Macaca mulatta: one gene and its partner. The protein of the gene in region 2 interacts with the protein of the main gene of each other region in a pairwise test. Links are inferred from orthologs where the notes say so. Each region holds a gene or a part of one and is shown on either strand. Other genes may lie near its edges. The genes, in order: EHD1 and RBSN.

Region 1 (3,910 bases), on a different chromosome or scaffold from region 2:
GGTAAATGATGGTGACCTTGAGAGGAAAGCGGAAGTATTTGGGTTTTTAAATTTCCCCCTAAGTTCCCACAAGATTTCATTGTTGCACCCACACTTCCCCACTTCCCCGCATAGGGAATTTTCAATTTCACTTCCCAAAACGCAAGTGACCAGAGGGCCTCAACTTCCTCATGTCCTCCTGCCCTGCCCCAGCTGTAACCTCTGTGGGGAAGCCTTCTCTTCTCCCGCGCGCGTCCGGTGTCACCCATGTCCTCCCCCGCTTGCGTCCCTCTCCCACTCCCACCCCTTCGGCCTGAGGGGAGGTCAGGCCTCTCGCTGCCCGTCAGTTTGCCCGTGTGCCCGCTTCTCCTTGCCCATTTTTATTTCCCCAGTCACCGCCCCGCCCCGGATTCTCTACTCCCTCAGCTTGCTCTGCTACCACTTTCCTGCCTCTCCCTCTCCCAAAGCAGATAAAAGATGAGGGGACAAAGACTGTGTGTGTCTGGGAAGCTGGGCAGAGACGAGTAGGTGCCGCGGGGGTACTCCGATGATTCCGGGGATTCTGAGCCAGCGGGAGGACGGCACGTGGGGAACGGCGGGCGCGGCGCGTAGTCAGGGAACCAAGGCACTGGGCACTGGGTGTCTCGTGGAGCCATCCCGCGGGGGTGTGGGGGGTCCACGGTGCTGGAAGGCGCGCAGGCCCACGGACCGTCGCCGCCTGACGCCTGCTCCTCGCCTTCCTAACCGCAGCACTTTCGCGAGCCTCCACACGAGGGGCGGGGCGAAACAGGTACGGTTGCCACGGCACCCGGACCACAGCCTCGCGAGATTTGGAATCAGCCAATGGGAGGTGGGGGAGGGGAAGACGTGGCACAAGTCTAAGGGGCGGGGCCGGGAGGGGCTCCTCCCTACCTCTCCCAACTGCGCCCTGCCCCCGCCGCGGCGGCGCGAGCCGCCCCTCAGGGACTGACCCTATAAAGGCCGCTCCGCGAGGAACGCGCTCCATTCGGCAGAGGGCGCTTCGGCTGGCTGGGCTGTGCGCCTGCGCAGTGTGGGTCGCTTCTCGTCCCCTGCCCTGGCCTGCGGCGCCTCGGCTCCGCGCCCACGCCCCGCTCTCAGCCGCCGCTCTGCCCCGCAGCAGCCAGCCCCGTGTCCGGCAGTATGTTCAGCTGGGTCAGCAAGGATGCCCGCCGCAAGAAGGAGCCGGAGCTCTTCCAGACGGTGGCTGAGGGGCTGCGGCAGCTGTACGCGCAGAAGCTGCTGCCCCTGGAGGAGCACTACCGCTTCCACGAGTTCCACTCGCCCGCGCTGGAGGACGCTGACTTCGACAACAAGCCCATGGTGCTCCTCGTGGGGCAGTACAGCACCGGCAAGACCACCTTCATCCGGCACCTGATCGAGCAGGACTTCCCCGGGATGCGCATCGGGCCCGAGCCCACCACCGACTCCTTCATCGCGGTCATGCACGGCCCCACTGAGGGCGTGGTGCCGGGCAACGCGCTCGTGGTGGACCCGCGGCGCCCCTTCCGCAAGCTCAACGCCTTCGGCAACGCTTTCCTCAACAGGTACCCACCCATCACTCCAGGGGGCGGGGGGCGCGGCCGGGGCACACACCGCACTGGGAGCCTGACCCTCCCGTGGCTGTCGCCCCGCCGTCCTTTGTCTCCGAGGCCCCAGTGAGACCCTCAGTGATCACTCCCTGGTCCAAGGGCCCTGCCGCTTCCCAGAGAAAACCCGCCGGTTTTCTAAGAGTGGGCGTTGCCCGCTCCCCCAGCTTCTGTTGTCCCCAGAATCTTCCAGGTTAACCACCGAGCCCTCCTGCAGATCCCAGCCCCACTCCCCTCAGAACCAGGGCCGCGGTGGGAAGCTGAGCCATTCCTGGGCTCCTTTTCTTGGTCTCCACCTCCTTCCCGCAGACTGGATGCACCTAATTCATGGAAATCAACCCTCCCTTCCCTGTCTCCTTAAGTGTCAATAGCAAAACACAATGAAACTTTTAGTCATTCCCTTTTCTGGTGCGGGGTGGGTCTGCTCTGCCTCCCCTGGGAGGGTGGTTTTGTGTAGGAGGGAGGAGGAGGATCTACTGTGGCTTGCTGACTTTGGGGCAGCCCCTTGGAGGCAGGGGACAGTTGAGGTTTGAACACTTCTCCCAAAGGCAGCTCTCAAGAGGTCAGTGCTGCCTTGAGGGATTTCAGGAAGCAGGATGAGGTGGTGGCAGTGGGAGCCCTGCAATGAGATTCTGGCCCTAAGCCCTTCTGTGCACTGAGAGACAGAATCTGAGGTTCCTGCACCCGCTTGGACCTCATTTTCCCAGTGAAGTGGCCTCTGTACACGATTAGAGTGATCTCCAGGACTCTGCCTCTCTCAGTGCTGTGAGTGAAACACAGTGCCCCCGCCCCTCAAGGAGTGCAATGGCCAGGCTCACTTTTCTCCAAAGAAACTTGAGACATCCCGGTCCCAACCCCCAGGCATACCAAAGTACTTCATACGAAAGGACTACCTACCAAAGTACTTCACAGACCCTGCCCTCCCTGCCGCCCACATTCACGGACTCCACATGCCTTTCAAATTCTGCACCAGGGAAGCGCCTCTGAAGGAATCTTTGAATCCTGCCTTCCAGGTCGCCGCCCTGCGTGGTCACATTCCTTTCCAGATGCCATCTAGCCGTGCAGGGCAGCTTGCCCTAGAGCCAAGCCGGTGGCCAGGCCTACTCCATGCACAGAGCTGACCTTCAGCAGGGTCTGTTGCCACTTCCAGTCATTTCAGACCGCCCTCCTGTTTTGTGGACGTTGATGTTTGTCTATCAAGGTCAGGTTGAGTGCAGCTCTTTGGGCTAGGGGCCCTGAAGAGGCAGGGTCCTCTTGCTCTGACCTTACCTCGTTTCAAGATTTGTGCTTTGCGCACTGGTAGAGAAGTGATTAGCTGAAACCATTAGCTGGTGGGAGCCATTCGACCCTGTGAAAAGTTTGGCGGCTGTGCCAGAAAGTCCAAGTGTTCGGTCTCTGCTTCCATGCAAAACTTTGGGAAACCGTGGGAAGGGTCACTGCCCCCGCTGCCTCTGCTGTCCTGAGCTCTTCACTTTCCTTGTGAGGGCACACCTTTTTTGAAAGGAGAAACATGGCACAGGACCAGTTTTCTGAATTTGGAAGCCTAGAGTTTCAGAGCTGGAAGGATCTTAGACATCGTCTCCGCAGCTTCCACCTCACTGGTTCAGGAAACCGAGGCTCAGAGGGTCCAGCTGATTTGAGGAAGTCACCCCTTAGGTCAGCCAGCACTGACTGCCTGGTTTTTGCGCAGCCAGTTACTGCCTTCTGCTGCTTCTACCTGAAAAAGAGCAATTCAGGATTGCTTTGTCCGAGACTGGTGCTTTGATGACTTTGGTGCCACAGGATCTGAGAGGTGGCACACGTTTATTTCCTTCTTGCTGCCACCTCATCTCCAGAGGATCCCTGATCACTGATGGCCTTGCTGAAAGGGCCCTGTCAGCCCGCGCTGAGGCCCCGAGCTGTGTCAGGATGTGTAGTGTGGGGAGTGTGCCCGGCGAGGAGGGTGCAACAAAGGGGGCTTTTCTCTGGCTGATACAGCCTCTCCCGGCTGAGTCTTAAAGAGACTCATTGAGTCGTGAACTTGACTTTCCGACCTTTTTCCCATATGTGGCTGCTCTAAGAATAAAATCAGCTGGAGCAGACCAAGGCAAGGTGCAGTCAGGGTGTCGTAAGAGTGTCTTGCGAAAACTCATTGCATAACTGGGACTGCCACCTGTGCGTCCTTGGTGAAATGGAATCAGAGGCATCTTTGCTGCTTGCTGCCTTTCTTGTTTTCTGCCATATACCCTGGGCTCTGCAGAGCAGCTGGTTTCTGGGTCCTGTAGATATTAACTTGCTTTCTGGGCTCATTTATGAGGCATTTTTACGTATGTGACTTGGCTTCC
Region 2 (3,810 bases):
GCTGGGATTACAGGCATATGCCAACACACCCAGCTAATTTTTGTATTTTTTTTGTAGAGACGGGGTTTCACCACGTTGGCCAGGCTGGTCTCAAACTCCTGGCCTCAGGTGATCCACCCACCTCAGCCTCCCAAAGTGCTGGGATTAAAGGCATGAGCCACTGTCCCTGGCCTAAAGTAGTCTTTTCTAGTAACAGGGGAGAGGAAACTGCCTGATGTGAACAAAGGGTCTAGCAAACAGGAATGTGAGTTAGCAAATAACAATTCATTTTTGCAAACAAGACTAGAGTATCAGGTTAAACAGGCAATCTATACCATTAACCACATTAGGAGACAGCAAAACTACCTGGCAATCTTCCCAGAATGGACATAGCCCTTCCACAGGAGGTCAATTAAGAATAATCCCATATATTTTTAAAAACAATAACAAAGCAAGAAGCCACAGTCAATTTTCAGCTATCTTTTCTTCTACTTACTGAAAATGGGCTAAACTGGAGCTGAACCAGGACTGGGTCTCGAATCCACAAACTTTTTCCTAATGACTAGTCTATCTTTTCTTTTTTGAACTGCCCCCAAAAACTAATACTAAGGTTCACTCTTTTGGCTTTAACTTTTCACTTGCCTAAAACTAACCATGTCATAACATTTCTAAGAATCAAAAGACCAAATGGAGAGGTAATCTGCTTTCTAAAGGGCTTTTCAAAAAACCTTTCATGTCAATCCTTAAAACTTTACTTTCCTGATTCTGAAATGCAGAAAACTGCAACATAATCAAGAATTCCTTTCTAACTAAAGATATGATCATTAGTAGTACTAGAGGTAGAGATGCAGGGGGTAGGGCAGGGTGGGAGATAAAGGGTAAACCAAGAGGATCTTTTCTTTCTTTTTTTTGAGACAGTTTCACTCTGTTGCTCAGGCTAGAATGTGACAGCCTTGATCTCCCAAGCTGAAGCGATCCTCCCACCTCAGCCTCCTGGGTAATTGGGACTACCAGTGCGTGCCACTATGACTGGCTAATTTTTTTAAATAATTTTTTTGTAGAGATGGTCTCGCTATGTTGCCCAGTCTGGTCTCCTGGGCTCAAGCAATCCTCCTGCCTTGGCCTCCCAAAGTACTAGAATTACAGGCATGAGCCACTGCACCTGGCTGAAGTAACTTTATTTTGTTTTTTGTTTTTGAGTCAAAGTTTCACTCTGCTGCCCAGGCTGGAGTGCAGTGGCATAATCATGGCTCACTGCAGCTTCAACCTTATGGGCTCAAGGGATCCTTCTGCTTCAGCCTCCCAAGTGGCTAGGACTACAAGTGCATGTCATCATACCCAGCTAACTAAAAAAAAAAATTTTTTTTTCTCTTTTTTTTTTTTTTTGGTACAGACAGGATCTATGTTGCCCAGGCTGTTCTCAAACTCCTAAGCTGAAGCGATCCTCCCGCCATGGCCTCCCAAAGCGCTGGGATTACAGGTGTGAGTCACTGTGCCCAGCCAAGGATCCTTTCAAGTTTCTTTCATAAGGCACAAAATTTCCATTCTATTTAGTATTCCTTAAATAGATTCCCGTATCTGTATTCTCTAAATAACCTTAAACACTCTTCCTCTTAAAAAAGGGTCAGTGAAGGAATCGGGGAACATTCTCTAACCTCTCTACCCACTGGCATCACCAGTTTTAGCAATGGCATTGTATATGACTTAGTTCAGCTGACACCAAGACTGGAAGCTAGTTGAAAATGATGGAGGCTCTTCCTTTGGTTGGCAAAGGAAACTTACATAATCAGGTTTTTCAGTTTTGTTTTTGCTTCATTTCCTCCAGGAAGCTGCAATGCACGCTGTGATTGAAACACGGGGCCTCTCACCCTGTGATGTCACATGCAAACAGCAGCACTGGACATAGAGATGACAGAAGACCTACATTCCAGGCCTAGCTCTGCAATTCCTGTGTGACCGTGGATAAGTAACTCAACATCTCTTGAGCCTCACTTCACTTACTATCTATAAAATAAGACCAATCACCTTCTTGCAGAGTTGTTAGGAGAGTCAGATGAAATAATAATGTCTGTGAAATAAACTCTAAAAACTATAAAGCACAGCATTTTTTTCCCCTCCTAATAGTTTTGGCTCTGCTCTACAGCCTCTACAGCCAGAAGCCACCTCATCCACCATAGCCCTCAGGATTTCAGAAATGTTTGCCTTTGTTGTTTTTGGATAGAAGTTGCAACTGTTTATGCTTTTAGAAACTCTTTTTTACTGAACAGAAAAGTGAGATAGAGTGGGACTCTAGGGACAACTATGTGATTACAAAGTACATATGAGTCACCTGTCAGAAAGCCAAAGCACACTTAGAAATATATGGTCATTCCTTTCTTTCCCTCCCAATAAAGACTGTGAATACAGCATCCAGAACTTTTTAATCTCATGGCCTTCAGAAATGCTGCCAGCTGTGAGAAGCAAGTTAGCTGAAAACTACAAAAATAAGTTCCAGAGGAGCAGCATCTTTGTTGTGCGTGTGTGTGTGTGTGTGTGTGTGTGTGTGTGAGAAAGGGTCTCTCTCTCTCTGTTGCCCAGGCAACAGTGGCACGATCATCACTCACTACAGCCTTGCCCTCCCTGGGCTCAAGCGATCCTCCTACCTCAGTCTCCTGAGTAGCTGGGGCAACAGGCGTGCACCATCACATCCGGCTAGTTTTTTTAAAAATTTTTTTGTGAGGTGGGTTTCGCGATGTTGCCCAGGCTGGTCTTGAACTCCTGAGCTCAAGTGATCCACCCACACTGGCCTCCCAAAGTGCTGGGAATAGAAACATAAGCCACTGTGCCCGCCCAGAGGAGAAGCATCTTATCTGGAGGTTAGAATTTGATGTCCAGGAAATACAATAAACATATGTATAGTCAAAACTACCTTTGAAAAATTCTTTCCACAACTCTCTCAGATCTGAGCTCTTGGAAGCTCAAAAACCAAGGTTTTCAGATTGTTTCTTTTGTTTTTCAACTACGACCTTCCTTTTTCTGGGCTACAGAGGGCAAGATACCAGTTGGGGAAGGAAGGATGGTGGGTAGGCTTAAATTTGTGACAGGTAAAATGGGTGCATAATGTGCCTCCATCATCATAGCAAAGGAAGAAATTCCTCTCCAAATTCTATTAGGCTAGTAGTTAGAGAATAGTCAAGCCAGATCACAGCAATTACATTTACTAGATTCAAAGTCAAACTGTGTTTCACTGAGTGGTTTTAGATAAGTTATCTAATCTCTTTGTGTCTGGTGCAAAATGTGGCTCACAGCCACACAGTTATTGTGAGGATTAAATGAAATAAATAAACAGGGAGACTCTGAAAATGCCTGGCACATGACAAACACTAGTCATTTGTTTGCTACTACTGTTATCATATTCCCGAGGCAACACTGAAGCTGATGAGAACTATCCCGTGAGTTAAAGCTCTCAATGACAGCAGGGTATAGGCAAGGTCCTATATAGTATATATATGACCCAGCAAGGTCCTTGCCTCTTACTTTTAATTTGCCCTTTGACATCACGGTCTTCGCCCGAGTGTTCTTCCTCATAATGTGAGTGAAGCTGATAGAAAGACTGCAGATCCTTCAGGCACAGAGGGCAGAGGAAGCCCTCCCTCACTTCCCCTGGGTCATCCAGAGAAGCCATGGCGGTGCCGCTCTCAACCCTAGGAAGGCAGGGATCTCATGCCAAGAGTCAGCTTGATTCCTCCCAAGGAATCATAGTTCCCACAGCATTAGCTTAAGCAGCACACAGACGGTGAGGAAGTAGCCTCATGGCCCTGAATGAGGTTTCCTCTCTGGAGTAGGAGGAGC

Evidence for each region.
Region 1: the proteins of RBSN (region 2) and EHD1 interact in binary tests that used the Homo sapiens proteins (3 or more experiments, as listed by UniProt). The link is inferred for Macaca mulatta from reciprocal best matches to the Homo sapiens genes RBSN and EHD1.

The regions. Positions count from the first base shown.
Region 1 is NC_133419.1:9,513,547-9,517,456, forward strand, and holds the start of EHD1 (EH domain-containing protein 1), read left to right. Parts: upstream 1-1,048; 5' UTR 1,049-1,117; coding exon of another isoform or gene 1,118-1,140; coding exon 1,141-1,544; exon of another isoform or gene 1,545-3,910. UniProt on the Homo sapiens protein: ATP- and membrane-binding protein that controls membrane reorganization/tubulation upon ATP hydrolysis. In vitro causes vesiculation of endocytic membranes. Acts in early endocytic membrane fusion and membrane trafficking of recycling endosomes.
Region 2 is NC_133407.1:153,898,327-153,902,136, forward strand, and holds part of RBSN (rabenosyn-5), read right to left. Parts: 5' UTR 3,644-3,810; coding exon 3,496-3,643; intron 1-3,495. UniProt on the Homo sapiens protein: Rab4/Rab5 effector protein acting in early endocytic membrane fusion and membrane trafficking of recycling endosomes. Required for endosome fusion either homotypically or with clathrin coated vesicles.